Linked DNA regions of Diceros bicornis minor. The main gene of each other region encodes a partner of the protein of the gene in region 2 in a complex. Links are inferred from orthologs where the notes say so. Each region holds a gene or a part of one and is shown on either strand. Other genes may lie near its edges.

What was found. The genes of interacting proteins can lie anywhere in the genome.
Region 1: WRAP53 (region 2) and NOP10 share a complex: the UniProt entries of both Homo sapiens proteins name them as parts of the telomerase holoenzyme complex. The link is inferred for Diceros bicornis minor from reciprocal best matches to the Homo sapiens genes WRAP53 and NOP10.

The regions. Positions count from the first base shown.
Region 1 is NC_080744.1:31,624,810-31,630,846, reverse strand, and holds NOP10 (H/ACA ribonucleoprotein complex subunit 3), read right to left. Parts: upstream 1,316-6,037; 5' UTR 1,254-1,315; coding exon 1,200-1,253; intron 911-1,199; coding exon 770-910; 3' UTR 523-769; downstream 1-522. Other genes in the region: NUTM1 (NUT family member 1), read left to right, coding at 1,786-1,789, 3,047-3,142, 4,837-5,545. UniProt on the Homo sapiens protein: Required for ribosome biogenesis and telomere maintenance. Part of the H/ACA small nucleolar ribonucleoprotein (H/ACA snoRNP) complex, which catalyzes pseudouridylation of rRNA.
Region 2 is NC_080757.1:10,678,918-10,686,133, forward strand, and holds the start of WRAP53 (telomerase Cajal body protein 1), read right to left. Parts: upstream 3,008-7,216; 5' UTR 2,993-3,007; coding exon 2,753-2,992; exon of another isoform or gene 2,624-2,752; coding exon of another isoform or gene 2,540-2,623; coding exon 2,220-2,539; intron 2,055-2,219; coding exon 1,956-2,054; intron 1,689-1,955; coding exon 1,577-1,688; intron 1-1,576. UniProt on the Homo sapiens protein: RNA chaperone that plays a key role in telomere maintenance and RNA localization to Cajal bodies. Specifically recognizes and binds the Cajal body box (CAB box) present in both small Cajal body RNAs (scaRNAs) and telomerase RNA template component (TERC).

The sequences.
Region 1 (6,037 bases), on a different chromosome or scaffold from region 2:
AGGCATTGCTATTCACAACGGCTGCACAAACACTGTAGATATATTAAGATCCACCACTGAACCCTATCAATTTTAGAGTTGGAAGAGAACTTAGAAATGATGAGAAAAATGAGACTGAACAGGTTAAGTGACTTTCTCAAAGTTATACAAAGAGGGGAGAATCCTGGTCTCCTGACTTCCAATTCACTGCCTTCCCTCTACAAAATAGCTATTATTTTTCAAGCAACTCTTCCATTTTGAGTCAATGTCATTTCAAGGGGCAAGAAATTATTTAAGTGACAACAGGGGTATTTTTCAGAGAATGCTGACAGTTGTGGACGCGTCTTTCTCAACCTTTCTTCCCCTTCCTCAACACCCTCCTATCACTAACAGCACAGCAGGACTCCTGCTGCAGCAGCGACTCAAGTTTTTCTTCCAAGTGAACTTGCTGTACCTTTGGGAGTACTCTTCCCTCTCAGCTCCTTCGTTTTTGTCTTTGTTTTTAAACCACTTCTTTCTTCCCACAACATACAAAACAAGAGCTCCTTCAAATCATTTTAATAACTTGGCAGTGACTGAAAACATGAAAAGAAGATTCAAACTTGTTCCCTTTAAGGGAGATGCTACCATGATTGCCTCACACAAGCATGATCAAAAGCAATGATGAGACCGGATTCCACAGAGCAAGGGTGGTCAGAAGGCCTCAAGGCTCACAGATTGAAGAGCGTGGTTTCGGAAAGTCTCTTGAGGGGTAGCAGGCGGCAGAAGACACACGAAATTTAAGGGACTCTCAGAGGACAGGGCGCGGTTGCTGGGTCATGAGCACCTTGAAGCGTTTCTTGATGGTGATTCGGTGTCGAGAGTATTTGTCGTCTGGGGAGAACCGAGCAGGATGGGCCGAGCAGGTCTGTTGTCCCACAGGGTCAAGCTTCTGCTCAAGAAACAGAGAACATCAGTACAGGAGTGATGGGAAAACTCAAGCACCGGCGTCTAAAGGGAGATGGAGGCTGGGATGGGGAGGGGGCCGCGCAAAAAAAGGTAAACAGGACAGAAGACGTGACGGACAGACGAAGGGGTCATACACTCCCGCTTCTACCACGCCTGGCTTCTGGGTTTTCTAGTTCGCCTCACCCAGGGAGGCAACTCGGTGCCTGGTCTCAACCGCTGCTCCCACCTACATTTCTCGCCATACCCATTCACAACCTGTTTCCTCTACTCACCTTAAGCGTATAGACCCGGTCTCCCTGCTCGTTGAGATAATACTGGAGGAACATGATCAGACTACAGCCAGAACTTCCAACTCCGTGCGCAGCTCCGTCCAACAGACCGCCTCACGTGTTTGTCAATTTCCTTCCTGCATAGCCGGAAGTCTCTTTCTAGGCATGCCGGGAAATGTAGTCCACTTAGGCCTTTCTCCAGCTGGCCAAAAGGGGGAGCCCTAGTGCAAGAGTTGGCCCAGTTGCAACCCAGTTGCAACTTTGCTGGCGTTGGCGCCCAGTTGCAACCTTGCAGGCGTTCAGAGACGCGTGGAGTGTGCCCCCTGTGTGCCCGACACTGCTAGGCTGCTAGGCGTTAGAGGGGGGTAAGGATGGATATGAGTTGAACATTGATGAATAGAATCCTGTCTTTATTTCAAGATGCACACCCATTTCAGGGGCAGTGTGTTTCTAGTGTCTGGAGAAACAATAGCTCCAGGATCCAGAGCCCCTTTACCTTAGGGAAGAAAGAAGAAGGTTTTCTTCCCTCCTCTCTTTTACATCCGATCCCCGCGCCCTATTTCAAAGTATTGGCGGTAAAGAGTGCATGATGGGTATTCAATATTCTGTACAGCGAGGAGAGCGTGAAGTTATTTTATGAAACTGGTGAAGTATGTTTTAGAGGTCGAACCAAGATTCAAACTCAGGTCTCTTTACCACAAATTCAGCGCTCTTATGGTGGTGAGTAGCTAATAATAGCATAATAAGATGTACCTCCGAAGGGTATTTCCAATTTTTAAAAGAACGTAGAAATTCTCCTTATAGGACTCTAGTTTGAAAAACGAAAATTGGAGCCCAGATATCATTACAAAGATGATCGTTGCAGTATTATGTATAATAGCAAAAACATTGGAGCATGTATTAATTTTATAACCAGAAAAACTGAAAGACTTTATTTTTTTTAAAGAATATAGTTTGTATTCACTTGTAGTTGCATAAAATATCTCTGCAAGGATTCACAAGAAACATAATATTGGTTTCCTCTGGGATAAAGAACTCCGTCCCAGAGGAAAGGAGTGGGAGGGAGACTTGCTGTATATTCCATTTTGCATAGTTTGACTTTTGAACCATGCTGATGTATTACCCATTTAAAAAATTAAAATTATTTAACAAAATTTTAAAACAAAATAATTTAACAAACAAAAGGAAGGACTTTTTGGTCTTGAAATTTTAGGCTGAATGGCAGTTTTTGATAGAGTGGGGCTTTTCAGCCAGGGGTAAGGCTGAGCCTTCTGTGGACTGCAGAGCTGATGGAAGTGGACTGTTGGGGCACTGCAGGACAGCTTTCCAAGGAAATGATATGCATACAGCAATTGAACACCCTGGGTCTTATGAGACAACCCTAATTTCAGACATTCTATTCCCTTGATCCTTAAGTACACCAGACTATGTGCTCTGAATTTGGTTCAGAAAATATAGCCAACATTGAATTAAGTCAAGGGTCTGCCACAACCTGCTATTAATGGGAAATCAGGTACAGAACTGGATGGGATTGAAGGGCACAGAACTAGATATATTGGTGAAGAGTTGTATAGGGTACTGAGATGTAAAACTATAATGTTGGGAATCTGAGAACGAATATACAAATATCCCTAAAGAGGTACACAACAATTGTGTTGCCATACTCTGGTTTGGAGGGAATTCCTTGTTACTGCTTACTAGAACCCTTTGTGGAGTATCTCCCTCCCCCCACCCCATATTCTGCTGTCCCCTCCCCCACTGCAGAATGCCTTGAGTCCTAGATTCTAGTTCTGTTTTAATCTGATCTTTACCCTCCCTTCCTTGGATCCCTGTGCCTCTACTGGAGCCAGATTACTCTCTGGGTCCTGAACCTGACTGTCTCATTCTGGAGGCTTCCAGACAGCCACGGTTAGCGCCCAAACCTGAGAGGATGGCTTCAGATGGAAGTAAGTCTGCAGGTGGGCGGGAGGGTCCCTGCCACCTGCTCACATCCTTCAGGATTAAAATTTGATGCTTTACTTGGGGACAGGCTCTTTGGGCTGATCTAGAGGGATGCGAGATCACTAGAGACCTCACCAAAGGCCTCTCACTGGGGGAGGCTGGGGAAGGAGGTTGTGCCATTAAGACTGGGGGTTGGGGAAGGAAGAAGGCCTCCTGGGAGACAGATCAAAGCACCTCAGAGGAAAGTGCTGATGATAGAGAAGGAATGGCAGTTAACAACTTGCTTCTCTGGAAGAGGGACCCTTTTAACATATGCTTGTGTGGCAGGGGCAGGAGTATGTGTGGGGCCCAGAGAAGGTTCAAGGGGAAGCCTCGAGTTCCTGTGTCTTCTTTAGGCAACCGGAGGGTGCTCTAGAATTTTGCCCTGAGAGAATTGAGCTGGGGCCATTCTGGATCTTACTGAGGGGGTGGGGGGTGGAGGCCTTAGCTGGAAAACTGTTCAGTGGGGTTATCTGTTGCCAAGTCTGTAGAGAAATGTCCTCCCGAAAGCTAGACTGGAAGGTACTATAAGCGCCTCTGCTCAGAGCCTCATGGCTCCTTCCAGCCCCAGAGATGGCTTCTCTCTCAGTTCAGGGAGCAGTTTTCCTTGATTCCTCCGCCAGGGCCAGGGGAGGTGGGTCACTCCAGCCAGTACAAGAGCTGGGGCTTCCCTGAGATGCTCTCAGCTTTTCTACCTTTTGTGGAGCTCAGGCATTCAAACCCATTTCTTTGTGTTCCGTACTTGGTGGAGTACTCCTGGCCCTCTGCTCTGTGGTTGAGATGACGAGTTTGCTCATATTCCGTGTCTCCTTCATGGTCTGGAAACGGAAACTGAGTGTTGTTAGTTTGCCAGTGGGATATTCTTTATAAGAGGGGAGGAGAGTAGCATGAAATTAGACAGATGATCTTCTATTGTTATTGTTAAAAGTCCTAGGAGACACATGTCCTGATTAATTAAGTACACGTTTTGTGTATTTATCTTTCGTCTCTTTGACTGGAGTCCGCTTAGCTCCTCCTCAGCAAGTACTGTGTTTTGGACTTCCTTATCAGTGCCTTGTTCATAGTGGGCCCTAAATTTCTGATGTTAGGAACTTCAAGCAGAAGGATCACAGATAGTCTGCATTGCCAAATTTTAACATGTCCAGCAGCTACTTGAAGCTCTGGAAACCTCCCTCCCCACACCACCCTGCCCTTGCTCATTTCCTGACCCTTATCTCCAGTCATTCCTGGCTGTTATATAACAGAAGTGCTGGGAACCAAACATCTAATCCACACATCCTCTTCTGGGAACAACACTTCTGTGAGTGGTGGCAGGGACCACAGAGCAGCTGGGAGTAGGGTTCAGGTGGTTTGAATGTGTTGGGAATGGATGGGAATAAAGGTGTACCTGTATGCTGGGTGCAATGAGTTATGGGGCATGAGCTCATAGGTCCAAGAATTATTGCAGCTTCTCTAGTGCAATAATTCTTAACTGGGAGTAAGGGACATCAAGATCACTTGGGGGACATTGCAAACTATACAAGTTCTCTCTCCATATCTCCTCCCTCACCTGTTGAGAATCGGAACTCTGATTCTTCAGGGACTAAAGTGGAACTCTGATGATCTGACTTCTGGTCTCCTTTTCTCCTACTCCATGCCCTCTTTTTCTTTGTCTCACCAGCATCTCCGTTGCCGGGACCGGATGTGACCATGAAACCTGGCGCCACCCGGTCTCCTTTCACTGCACTTCCCTTTCCCCCACCAGCTGCTGGCCCACCAGACCAACCACCTTGGGAGCCACCTCCACAGCCCCCCATGCCTTCAGCTTTCTCTCCAGGCAACCCTCTGGTGCTTTCTGCTTTCCCCAGCCCATTGTTGCTGACAGGGGATGGGGGCCCTGGACCCAGTGGGGTTGGAGCTGGCAAAGTCATTGTCAAAGTCAAGACAGAAGAGGCACCAGCTGAGCCCTCTCAAACTCAGAACTTTATCGTTGCTCAGACCGCCCTCAATTGGATTGCCTCAGATGCTGCCTGTGGGGGCCCCGAGGGTCTTCCCCCTCAATTCATGACAGCCTCTAACGTGAGGACCCTTTTGCCCAGTAAGCCTGTTGGGGTGAGCCAGGAGGGCCTCCTAGGCCTTCCTGCTCAGGCTCCACCAACAGCTGCCCAACTGGCCCCCATTGTGCCCCAGGAAAAGGCTTGGCCAGGGCCACTTGGGGCATCCGGGGAAGGAGGTCCTGCGGCTGCTCGATCCAAGTCCTCGCTGGGTGACCTCTCCTATACCTCCAAGGGTGTTTATGAGAACTTCCGACGCTGGCAGCGCTACAAAGCCTTGGCCCGGAGGCACTTATCCCAAAGTCCTGATGCAGAAGCCCTTTCCTGCTTTCTTATGTAAGTGGGGAGACCTGAGATGAATTATCCTAGGGCTTTAAATAAGGAGGACTTTGGGATGGACAAAAGAGATTAGACTATTTAGGAATACTTGAGGGCAGGTCATGAGCGTGATGGAGATGCTATGAGAACAAAAAGTGTAATAATAATAATGAGGAGGAGGAGGAGAATAAGCCTCTTTACCCACTTCCCAGATTATAATGTTTTTGCAGGTATCTTGTCTCAGGGGTCCTCACATCCTTGTGAGTTCAGGCAAGCGTTTTTATGGTAATCTTCATTTAATAGATGAGAAGACTGAATGAAGCTCAGAGAGGTTTCCTGTGTCATAGAGCGAGGAGCAATGATTGGAATTTAGGTCTCTGACATCAAGTGCCAGAGTCCTCCCATACCGTCCGGCATCAAGACATCGAGTTGAGCCGTGCAAACTGGCCAGGATGAGTGCTGGGCCCTGACCCATTCCTGCAGGGCCAGGCAGAGGACCTTGTGTGTGCC
Region 2 (7,216 bases):
TCTGAAAGTGCTCTTGACAAGTCACTAATGTCTTCTTAGGTCATTCTCTAAATTTGCCTCACTCTCAACAGCGTTGGACATGACTCTGTCTCCACTTTCGTAATTTCTCCTGCACCCCACCTCCACATGCTGGGGCGCTCAGGGCTCTGCTTGAGCCTTCTCCTTCTCCATCTATACTTGACATTGAATCCGTTCTCAAAGCATAAGATACCATCTACACGCTCTCCCACTTCTCAAAGTATATCCCCAGGGCCGGCCCCGTGGCTTAGCGGTTAAGTGCGCGCGCTCCACTGCTGGTGGCCCGGGTTCGGATCCCGGGCGCGCACCGACATACCGCTTGTCTGGCCATGCTGAGGCTGCGTCCCACATACAGCAACTAGAAGGATGTGCAGCTATGACATACAACTATCTACTGGGGCTTTGGGGAAAAAATAAATAAATAAAAGTATATCCCCAGCCCCAATTTCTCCTCTTAGATTTACATTTCACATTTAATGTACCTAAAAACTCTTGACTCCCAACCCAATACCTCTTCATATCCCTGTTTCCTCCTTCGAGTAAACTGTACCATAATCCACCTAGCTGCAAAAGCCGGGACATCACTCTTGATTGCTTCCTTCCCTGCACCCCCACATCCAATTGACCTCCAAGTCCTACATAACATACTTCAAATCCATCCACTTCTCTCCATCTCGCCCGACACCACCCTACCATCATTTCTCGCCTGGACTGTGATAAACGCATCCTAATGAGTCTCCCTGATTTCACTCTTGCCCACCCACAATCCATTCTCTAAACTTCAGCCATCATTTCACTCTCCTGTTTTAAAACTCTCCCATGGCTTCCCAAATAAACTCCAAATGCCCTACCCACAAGACCCAAAACGACATGGCTGCTAGCCACCTCTCCATCCTCACCACGCTTCCCCTTCACTGGCATTCTTTCTGTTCACTGAATACACAAAGCTCTTTCTCAGCTCTGGGTCTGTAATATCATTGCCTCTTCCTGGAATGCTCCTTCCACAGTTCTTCACTTGACTGATCTCATCATCCTTCAGGTCTCAGCTCAAATGTCTCCTTTTCAGAGAGCCTCTCCCTGACCATTTTATATAAAGTGGTATCCTCTAGTTAGTCTCTCTTCATTCTATTTCCTTCATAGCATTTATTATAATCTGTCATGAACTTGATTATCTATTGGTTTACATGTTTGTTGTCTAACTCACACACAAGAAAGCAAATCAGCTCTTCATCTGTCTCCTTCACCACTTTATCCCAGCACCAAACACAGTGATTGACACACTGGTATTCAATCAATAAATATCTGTAAGCCAATTAAACACTGCCATGAGAAATCCACTATTCTTTTATGGGAAACACATATTCCTGACTAAAGAAAGGACAAACATCTGTTTAAATGACTTCAGAATTCAGGGTTGAAAACACTACCTGTGAAAATTCATGGTGAAGAAATGTCCTGTTTGTGAACAGAAAACATGTGGACTGTACTTTCTCCATCTACAGGAAGGACTTAAATGTGCAGTGTCTGATGAAGGAGCAGAGTTAGCCCCTACCCTTACCATTTCTGCATATTCCAGCTGCTCCCCCTCATTGTACAGCTCTGGGGGCAGGTTATAAATCCGCAGGATGTTATCAGCACTATTGGTCAAGATGCAGGAACCATCAGGGGCCCTAGGAGTAGGGAAGAGTAAGAAAGCTGGACAGATCTATATTTTCCAAGTGTAGGGCTAGGGCTGAGCCTACCTCTGGGGTAGGTAAGGCCCCCAAAACCTTGGAGGAAGTAGAAGACACACAATCCTAGATGAAATTTAAGCTCAGTCCAAGAGGGATACTTACTCCTTCTCCCACCTCTGGTGGATACTTCTCCCAACTAACTGGAGTGTTCTAAGGTGAAAATCCTGGGCATGGTTATCTCTCTGCCCCATTATCCTTACTTACCACTTACACCCTTTCAAGAAGTTCTCAGATTGGGTGCTGAACTCTGACCAGGAACCACTGAGAAACCGAGGTAGCTGGGAGAAGCTGTAGTTCCAAGCGCTGGAAGGAAGATGGGGGGACAACAAACCTGGGTCGCCAAAGGAAAAAGGAAATGGGTCTGGAGAAGTGGGGCTGAGGACTGGCGGATAAGGTATATCTCATACGTCCACACATCTCACACTTCAATCTCCTCAGATTCCTGAGGCAACTGCCACCACCACTTACGTGTATCCCTCCTCCTCTGGAGCTGGGTCCTCAGACACACCTTCCACGGCTTCTCCAGGCCCCGACTCTGGCCTGTTAGTTTCTTCTGCAGGAAGGTTCACATTTTCAGAAAGTTCTTGCTCCTCGATTCGAGGGCTCAACTCACTAGGAGTACCAAACCCTATTTCCAGGGGAGTGAAGAGGGAAGCTCGGTCCCCCTCCCTCAGCTCCTGGGACACAGCTGAGCCAGCCGCGGGATCTGGGGACACCTGGGGGGGATCATCCCCATCGGGTGGCGGTAGCATCCGTTCAGGGTCCGTATTTTTATCCACCGCGGAAGGCTTAGGAGAGAGATGGGCTGGAGCTGGGGCCTGGTCTGAAAGAAGGCAGTCCGGACCTAAGAGTGGCGCCTCCGGCGTCTTCATTCTGCAGAGGAAGCGCGGCAGACATTGGCCTCGGCCAGGCAACCCTCCTCCCGCTGGCTACCAGCTGCCTGGCCCGCGGAGCAGCCGAGACAGCTCCAAAGTTCGCACGGATCCTGGAGAAAAACCCACCTGTGCCTTCCTTCTTCTTCCGGGAGGGGGCAGAAGACCCCCGGAAGGCAAGGCGAAGAAGTGGACACCAACGTTAAAAGCACGGCATCCCTCAGCCCCGTCGGTCGCTACGCGCCACTTGCTCTCGCGGGATTTGGGCCCACCTCTCGATTGGACCTCCGCATCCCGGATCAGATTTCGCGGGCGACCCACGGGAGGGGCGGGGCAGGGACGCAACAGGTCCCGGTTTACCGTTCCCATCAAGCCCCGGGGCTCTTAGAGGCTGCTGGGAGTTGTAGTCTGAAAGCTTCTGCCTCCGAGAGAAGCGTCTGAGCTCCCCCTGTCTTCTTCCCGCGGTCATGCTAAAAACACCTACTTCTTACTCCCCAACCTGCAGAGGGCGCCGGCGTTGTATTTGATTTTACAGGTTTCTGAACCTCTTTGGCATCTCATTCGCCAAATTCCTCAGACCTCTGTCTTTTCATTCATTCAATAAATATTTATTATTGAGCTCTTACTTGCTACCCAGTATGAACTGAGTACTGGGAAATACAACAATGAATAAAATAGTAGACAAAGTCCCTGCCCTCCTAAGGCTTATGTTGCTGTGTATTGAAGGCAAGGAACAAATCTTTTCAGAAAGTGATAAAAGCTGTGAAGGAAATTAAACAAGATAGCGTGATATATAGTATCTGGAGGAATACGTTAGATTGGGATATTAAGGAAGGCCTTCCAAAAAGGTAAGATATTAGCTGATGAGAAGAAACTATCCAGCTATCTGGGAAAGGAGTGTTCCAGGCAGAAGGAACAGCAAGTGCAGAGGCTTTCTTCCTTCCACCTTCATATCTGACACAGTGGCAGGAGTCTTCCAAAACGGTTTCCACCAATTCTGCCCTCACGGCTCTGGCTTGCCGAACTTCCCCACCCCAAAATGTCAATAGCTACAGCACCAACACCGCGAGAATCCTAACTTTCTCCGTGCCCTCCTCTCCGACTCTGCATTCCTATAGCCTCCGCCCGAAGGCGAATTGCTTGCCCTTACTTGTCATGGCGACTGTCCAGCTTTGTGCCAGAAGCCTCGCGGGGCTTGCTGGGATTGGGATTTTCCCCTCCCATGTGCTCCGACTGGCGCTAAAAGTTTTGAGCTTCTCAAAAGTCCAGAGCCACCATCCTGGGTGCAGGTAGCCGCCAGGCTCCGGAGTCACCTGGCGTCCGGCCTCGGGGCGTGCTTTCCAGGACGGTGACACGCTCCCGTGAGGTTCGGGTAAGCTCGTGACTGAGCCTGATGAGTCCTCTCTGAGTCACGGGCTCTCGGCTCCGTGTATTTTCAGCTCGGGAGAATCGTGGGGGTTGGGGGTGGGGCACTGGGGACTTAGCGATTTTGGGGGGATGGAAGTTTGGCGGCACCAACATAGGAATGCAATGTTGGGAGGCCTGGGTGTAGATGATGGGGATATTAGGAATTCAATTGTCAGTTGAAATCAAAGCTGAACACCTGGGCGGGGAGTGGGACTTTGGGGGAAACTTGAGCCGGCCTACGGGATTCTTCCCCACCCCCCCTCCATCCCAGTGCCGGGTGTGGGGAATCCTGAAATAAGACGCACAGAGCATGAGGGTCTCAGACTTTCGGATCTCGGAACTTTGGGAATTCATGGTTCGAGATTTTAGAGCCCATGGCATGCTGGTGGAACCTCGGGCTTCATTCCGAAATGATTATTCGGGGTGATCTGGGAAGCCCAAGCTGCTAAGGTCCCGTAACTTCCGGACCTTTGTCCTTCCTGGAATGGTCTCTGCAACCGGTCCTCGGCTCCGCTAGATGGAGAAAATCCAGTTAAAGCCTGTCAGTCGTGCAAGTGGGAAGTGCTAAACGAGAGATTTGCCCGCGAAACCAGGGAGGACTATCCCGGTCTCAGAGGCCCGAGAGCCCTGTTATTGTTTGGCTCTACATTTACATTTCTGCCCTTTGCAGGAGCATTTCCGGTTTCTTTTTTGGGGGCAGCTTACTATTCACCCGATGAGAGGGGAGCAGAGAGACAGAAAATGTCTTTTAGACTGATTCCTATTACTTGCGGAGGGAGGCTGCTAACTCCCTCCTCTACCTCTTTTTTCTTTCTTCCTGGAGTACTTAGTTACCGCTTTGGGAAAGGAAGATATATTTGTTTTGATGCAAACCTCAGTCCCTCCCCCGTTTGAATGGTGTGCTCCACCCTGGTCGACTGCAACCTCGGCGGACGCTACCATTGCGTGGGATGGGTTTTTTTTTTTTTAAAGGGTGCAGAGGGAAACCCCTGGGTATTTTTTTTTTAAAGGGCACATTTGAGAATTAAATGATGAAGGAGTGTAACGACAGGTCGTTTGTGGCGGAGAAACACTTTCTCTTGTTTCCGGCTTTGGGCTAAGCCATTCCACTTTCGGACGCAGACTGAACGTCGTGACAGCGGAAGGGGCGGGTCTTGGCGAGGGGCGGGCCCCGCAGACCTGAGTATCGCTCTCCGGTCCCGGCTAGTTCTTTCCTATGGCAGGGTGCGGAACCTCCGCGAAATCCAACGCGAATCCCTTTCTCCTGCATCTTCATCGCTTGGGTCGCGGTCGTTTCATTCAGCAGCCACTTAGCACGCACCTGCTACGCACCAGACACTGTGCGCGGTACTTCTGTGCTTATCTTTTGTCTAAATTGAGGTAGCATTTATACCCACTGCAGTTAGACGAGTTTTGGCAGCTAACCACCGTGTAACGCCTATCAAAATATAGAACATTTTCATCACCCCAGAAAAGTTTCTCATGCTTCTGTCCGGTCTGTCTTTGACCCCCACCTCTATTTTGATTTCTTTTGCCTGTTGGAGAACTTGTAAATGAAATCGTACAGTATGTGCTCCTTTGTGTCAGGCTTTTTCCTTGAGCATAATGTCTGTGAAATTCATCCATGTTATTGCATGTTATTAGTGGTGTATCAGTATTTTGCTTTTTTTTAAATTTAGTATATTCCATTAGATGAATAAACCATCGCTTGTTTATCCATTCTCCTTTTGATGGCCATTTGAGTTGTTGCCCGTTATTTTGAATAAAGCTGCTATTAACATTTTGTACAATTCTTTTTGTGGTCATATGTTTTCATGTTTCTCAGATAAATACTTGGGAGTGGAATTGCTAGGTCAAAGAGCAGAGAGTAGATCTATATATTTTTTTAACTTTATAAAAAAATTCAAGGGGCCTGCCGGGTGGCGTAGTGGTTATGTTGGCGCACTCTGCTTTGGCCGCCCTGGGTTCCCAGGTTCGGAACCAGGGTGCAGACATATGCAGGGCTCATCAAGCCATGTTGTGGTGGCGTCGCACATACAAAATAGAGGAAGATGGGCACAGATGTTAGCACATGGCCAATCTTCCTCACCAAAAAAAAATCAAGTTTTTTAAGGTGGTTGTACCATTTTACACTCCCACTAGCAAGCTGTAACCTTCCTCACCTTTGGTTTGTCGGTCTTTCTAATGTTACATGCCTTTGTGGTTTAAATTTGCTGTTCTCTGTTAATTATGTTCAACAGTTTTCATTGTGCTTATTGGCCATTCCTATGTCATGTTTGAAGTGGCTCTTCAAGTCTTTTCCCCATATTTTAAATTGGTTTATTTGCTTTTTTTTTTATTGTTGAGTTGTAGGAGTATATAGTCTGGATACACATATCTTTTGTCAGATACACGTCTTTTCTCCTGACCTGTTGCTTGCCTTTTTGCTTAACAGTATCTTAAGAGGAGCAGAAAATTCTTTTTTCTTTCAAGTGTTTGCTGTAACCTGTTTAGGAAATCTAACCCCAAGTTCATGAAGATACTCTCGTATATTTTCTTAGAATCTTTATAGTTTTAGGTTTTATACTTAGGTCTATGAGCCATAATTAATTAATTAATTAAAAAAATTTTTTTTCATGATATGAGCCAGAGGTCTAGGTTTTGTGTTGTTGCTGTTGTTTCTTATATGGATTCCATCCAGTCGTTCTAGCTCCACTTGTTGAAATAGCCTTCCTTTCCCCCACTGAATTTAATTGGAGTGCTTGGTCCATTTACATTTAATGCAATTATTATAAGGTTTGAGTTTAAATCTGCTATTTTAGTGCTATTTTCTATCTGTCTCCTTTGTTCTTTGCTCTTCTCTTCAAACATTTGAGGAAGAAATAATATCACTGTTACACAAACTCTTTCAGAATATAGAGGCAGTAACATTGCCCCCTCATTTTACGAGGCCAGCATAATCCTGATACCAAAACCAGACAAGGACATTACAAGGAAAGAAAATTGAGCTCAATATTCATGTTAGCATATATATGCAAAAATCTGGCAAATTTTAGCACATCAAACCTGGTATATATAAAAATGAGAAATAAATCCTGACCAAATGGAGTTTATCCCTGGATTGCAATGTTGATTTAACATTCAAAACTCAGTGTAATTTGCCACATTAACAGATTAAAGGATAAAAATCCTATGATCAATTCAAGA